2 linked regions of the Cricetulus griseus genome follow. The protein of the gene in region 2 purifies or fractionates together with the protein of the main gene of each other region. This does not show direct contact. Links are inferred from orthologs where the notes say so. Each region holds a gene or a part of one and is shown on either strand. Other genes may lie near its edges.

The links.
Region 1: the proteins of cyclin-dependent kinases regulatory subunit 1 (region 2) and Ccna2 purify together in Homo sapiens (affinity purification with western blotting; 7 studies listed by BioGRID and IntAct, counting the BioPlex papers as one, with this or other methods). This does not show direct contact. The link is inferred for Cricetulus griseus from reciprocal best matches to the Homo sapiens genes CKS1B and CCNA2.

What each region holds. Positions count from the first base shown.
Region 1 is NW_023276806.1:113,103,050-113,105,679, reverse strand, and holds the end of Ccna2 (cyclin-A2), read right to left. Parts: intron 2,477-2,630; coding exon 2,343-2,476; intron 2,094-2,342; coding exon 2,045-2,093; 3' UTR 1,317-2,044; coding exon of another isoform or gene 1,235-1,316; 3' UTR 1,089-1,234; coding exon of another isoform or gene 1,010-1,088; 3' UTR 684-1,009; downstream 1-683. Other genes in the region: Exosc9 (exosome complex component RRP45), read left to right, coding at 1,010-1,088, 1,235-1,316. UniProt on the Homo sapiens protein: Cyclin which controls both the G1/S and the G2/M transition phases of the cell cycle. Functions through the formation of specific serine/threonine protein kinase holoenzyme complexes with the cyclin-dependent protein kinases CDK1 or CDK2.
Region 2 is NC_048596.1:133,402,773-133,405,339, reverse strand, and holds cyclin-dependent kinases regulatory subunit 1, read right to left. Parts: upstream 1,012-2,567; 5' UTR 974-1,011; coding exon 731-973; 3' UTR 685-730; downstream 1-684.

The sequences.
Region 1 (2,630 bases), on a different chromosome or scaffold from region 2:
AAGCTCATGATGTGGGCCAGAGTTTGGATCCCAGTACTCACACTGGATGGTTCACAACCCTCTGTATTCCAGCTCCAAGGGAACCAACACATCTTTTGGTCTGTGGAGACCAGCACACATGTATACTTACACAGATGCACACAAAATTGGCCACATTGGTAGCAGTGACTATCTTTAGGTTAGAAGTCCCTTGAAGGTCTAACTTGCTGTGGTCCAAAAGCCATAAAAAGAAATGTGTGCCAGGGTATGCATATAGATGTCAGAGAACTTGCTGGAGTTCCAGGAAGTTGCGACCTGCCATATGTAGGTGCTGGCAACTGAACTCAGGTTCTTTACCAGAGAAGTATGCACTCTGAACTAATGCATATTCTACTTGTCTTCATGAAAGAGAATCATTGCTTATAGACTTGGTTTTTGTTTTGACAGGGGAACAATGTTGGTTTAATTAGGTTAATGGGTGAGTTTTATACCATTCATTGTATCCAGTTGTCTTAACCATCAATAATGCTGTTACCTCACTATCACTGGCTAGTGTCTTTACACTTGTGTATATATCTATTTGCCTAAGATTTAGTAAGGCTCATGAACAGCTAAGATAACAAGGATGATGATGGTAGAGTTTTTCTAAAGCATGTGAATAAAGAATGCTGAGACAAGAATACACAGCCAAAATAGGCAAATGATTAATTTGCATGCTTTATTTACATATATATATATATAATTAATATTCAAGACAAAAATGGGCAAACAAAAGTTCTCTACATTTTTCATGGTTAGCCCTGGTAGTAATAAACTAGACCGTCCTGGCCTACGTGAGTCCTCTTAAAAAAAAAAAAAACAAAAACAAAAACTACAAAAAACATGTATTTTTTACAAAATTTTTGGAAAGAGTATGTTGTATATGCTGCCTCCAGGCAGCAGAGCTTGAGCTGTGTGTGCATGGAAATGGGAGCATTCAGACTAATGATACTAATAAGTAGTTACTTTTACTTTCGGTATTTTCTCCAAGGTGCCCCTATAGTGCTGTCAGATAGCGAAGAAGAAGAAATGATCATTTTGGAACCAGACAAGAACCCAAAGAAAATAAGGTAACAGATTTCTGGTTACTTTCAAATATACATAAAAATAGGACTTATGTCTGTAAAACAGGATGCCTTTGCCTTTAAAGTTCCAGCGATCCAGTCCAGGATTCAGTGGACATACACTGAGTTGTGGTATTACTTTATTTTCGCAGAGCTCAGACCACCAATGCAAAAGAAAAGGCACCAAGTAAAAGTCAAGTGAAAAGGAGGAAAAAGAAGAGAACTGCTAATTAAAGCTAAAATGATATTTTTGTGTGTATATATATATAAAACTACTAAAAGGATATTTATTCAGTGCTTTAACAGCACTGGGTATTTTTTTATTTGAAAATCCATTATAAGAGCTGAACTGTTTCATAAATTGTTTTGTCTGTAACATTATGCTTTGAATAAACTTTCTGTACAACTTTTCTGTTGCACAAAATCTTCCTAATCCATGTAAAATCTTATTTGTAAAAGTAGAACTGAATGAGTCTGGGGAGTCTCTGCTACACTGAAGAATCTAGTTTTTGCTTATTTTATGACCAAGTCAGCAATTGGTTCAGTTGCTTAGAATAACCAATGTCAGAATTTGAAGATCAGTTTCCCTGAAATATTTCAGTTTTAGGAAGCTTTTTCTACCCCCACTGAACAATAAACCAAGTTAGCCTTTCTAAGTGACATTATCAGTCTTATTTTTATCTCAAATTAACTTTGACTTGCAAAGATTTCCAAATCAATTTATTCTTATTATCCTGACAGTTGGCAGCACCAAATGTTAACAAACCAATTAAAATTAGCCAAATATCTAAGATAGACACATGTACAAAAGATATACAAATTAAAACCATTTAAAAAGCAATGGATACCATAATTTGTCCGTGGCTATACCATCTACATTGTGAAATGATTTGTGAGATTAAAACCCAAGACAAAACTGTACATTGTGAACTCCCATTTTAAACAAAGGTAGTCTTTCATTCTTACACATTTAGTGTCTCTGGTGGGTTGAGAAGAGAAACACCATGGTATCTGTTGAGCAGAAAAAAAATTTTTTTTTAGTAAATATTCATTGGGGAGATCACAGAACAGTTTATATGCCCCAGCCTAGGGAAATGCTATTTCTATTTGATTAGACTCAAAACGTGTGTTACCTTACCCATACCCTACCAGATGAAAGGGGGAAATGCCAGGTACAATAGCTTCCTAACACATTTACCTTACTGAGGCAGCTGTGGCAGATTACCATACCCTTTAAATGAATGAGAATCTGATTCTTACTTTGAATGTTTGTACTTTTCCCTTATTGACTGTTGAGCATGCTGTGCTGCTCTGAGGTAGGTCTGGTGAAGGTCCATGAGACAAGGTTTAAGACTTTCCAGGGTATATCCAGTCTTTTGTACCAATGACTCAGGCTACAGAGAAAAGACAACCATTGAGTTTTTAGTAACAGCACAGGGCATTGACCAATGAATGCACTTACAGTTGACCTAAGGTTGGCATTCATCTTTAACATGTTCAAGCTCATGCCATCTTTTATTTTGACTGTTTGACTACTTCCCCTGCTAG
Region 2 (2,567 bases):
ATCTATCTGCAGTCTTCTACATGCCAGCATCCAATTATGCTAGCACCATTTGTTTAAGATGCTTTCTTTTTTCCATTGTATAATTTTAGTGGTTTTTTTTGGTCAAAAATCAGGTGTTTTTAGGTGTGTGGGTTAATATCAGGGTTTTCAATTCAATTTCATTGGTCTACCTGTCCATTTTTGTGCCAATACCAAGCTGTTTTCAGAACTATAGCTCTATAATAGAGCTTTAAGTCAGGGATGGTGATACCTCCAGAAGTTCCTTTATTTTTTTATTTTTTTATATTATAAAAACTTCCTTTAATCAAGGCTTGTAACATGGAAGAGATTTGTCAGATAAAATGGAAAGTTTCCAATATATTGAAACATAAATCCGTAAGTCACCATAAATACAATACCCAATAGTAAAAACCACAACAGGAAATTCACACTATCCCTGTAACAGCCATGATCTGATTTTCACATGCTTCCCAGAGATGGCAAGTATGGATATGCCTACTGGATAAAGAGCACACCAGGTCTTTGAGGTCACACTCATCTGACAGGTTGTGGCATTGGTGGCTCAGCTCAAGAAGCAAAGCAGGTACCAACACAATCAAACAATGTTTTGAACAAACATCCTTTAAATGTCAAAGTGAGAAATAAGAAAGCAACATAATCATGCTATCAGAAGGTGTAGGAAGGAAGGACAGCTGTGTAAAGCTTGAGTTTGAAAGGTGGTTCAACAGCTTCATTTCTTTGGCTTCTTGGGTAGTGGCTGCCGGAAGAGTAAGATGTGAAGTTCTGGTTCATGGATCATCATATAATGGACCCATCCTTGACTCTGCTGAACGCCAAGATTTCTCCATTCAGATTCAGACATCAAATGCGTTTTAGGGACCAGCTTGGCTATGTCTTTGGGCAACATGACATGCCGGTACTCGAACTCCTCGTCATCGTATTTGTCCAAATAGTAAATCTGTTTGTGCGACATGACTGCTCAGCCCGAGGGCCCTCAGCCCCGCACCGCCGGCCTCCTGATGACTCCCAGAAGTTCCTTTATTGTACAGGTTGTTTGGCTATCCTGGGTTTTTTGTTTTTCCATATAAAGTTGAGTATTTTTCTTTCAAGGTCTGTGAAGAACTGTGCTGGGATTTTGATGGGGATTATGTTGAATCTGTAGATTGCTTTTGGCAAGATTGCCATTCTTACTGTGTTGATCTTACTTATCCAAGAGCATGGGAGGTCTTTCCATTTTCTGGTATCTTCTTTAATTTCTTTCTTTAAAGACTCAAAATTCTTATTATACAGGTCTTTCACTTGTTTGGTTAGAGTTAGCCCCCAAGATATTTTATGTTGTTTGTGGCTATGGTGAAGGGTGATGTTTCTCTGATTTCTTTCTCAGCCATATTCATCTATATATAGTAGGGCTACCTTTTTTTTGTTGTTGTTGTTAATCTTGTATCCTGCCACTTTGCTGAAGGTGTTTATCAGCGGTAGGAGTTCCCTGGTAGAATTTTTTGGGTCACTTATGTAAACTATTATATCATCTGCAAATAGTGAAAATTTGCCTTCTTCCTTTCCAATTTGTATCCCCTTGATCTCCTTTTGTTGTCTTATTGCTCTAGTAATGGGTTACCTCCAGCCAGCTCTGGGCAAATATGCTACAGAATGTTTGCAGAACTACAAAATCCCCTAAAATATATTTTTTTTTCTGAAATCTTCCCATCACCAAGCAAAGCATGACTATATACTGAATGAAGAAATGAGGACATGACTGCTCCAGATATGGTGGAGGACAAGATTTATTGTAGATATGAGGGAGACAACAGCCAGAGGCATCTGGAAGGGTCCATATAAACTGTGCCATGAGAGAAGGGGTGCAGGGGTAGGAGTGAGAGGAAGAGAAGAGTGGAGAAAGGAGGAGGCCAAGAGGGGAACCAAGAGACCAAGAGACTGCATGCTCAAAAAGGTTGAGATTATAGGGGGATCAGAGGCTGGGGGAGGAGAAACCCAGACCATGGGCTGAAGAGAGGTTGAGGCTAGGGGGCAGCATATGCCACTCAAGATGACTCTGTGACAGGTTATTTGTGAGTAGGGACTGAGAGAGACTGGTCACCAGAATCAGCTTTGATATGTTAAAGAGGCACCTCAGCCATTTGTCTGTGGTTTCTGTGAGATCTAACGTTCCAGCCTTTTGTGGGTGATAAAGGGTGATGGAATCTTTTCTATTACTGCTTCCTGCTGGAATGGCATCTGTGTTGGGGCCCAGGAAGGCTGGAATGATGGCCAAAGAATGAGAAGAGAGGAGTACAGGCTGGTGGGGAGGGGAGGGGGGACGACACATCTGTTTCCCCTCACTGCCCAGGTTCTGTGGGACCACCTGGGGCTGGGAAAGTGCAGGTCGCTTTAGAGCAGTCTGAGATGTTGAACCACCTGAGGCTAGCCACTTTAGAGCAGTCTAGGATGCAGAGGTTTGGGCGGGTTGGAAATTCCCTTAGAAGCATCTAGGGCTGACCCTCCTGGAGCAGTTTTGGAGAAGTCTTTAGTTGATTAGAATCCTCCAGGATGGACTAGAGATGGAATAT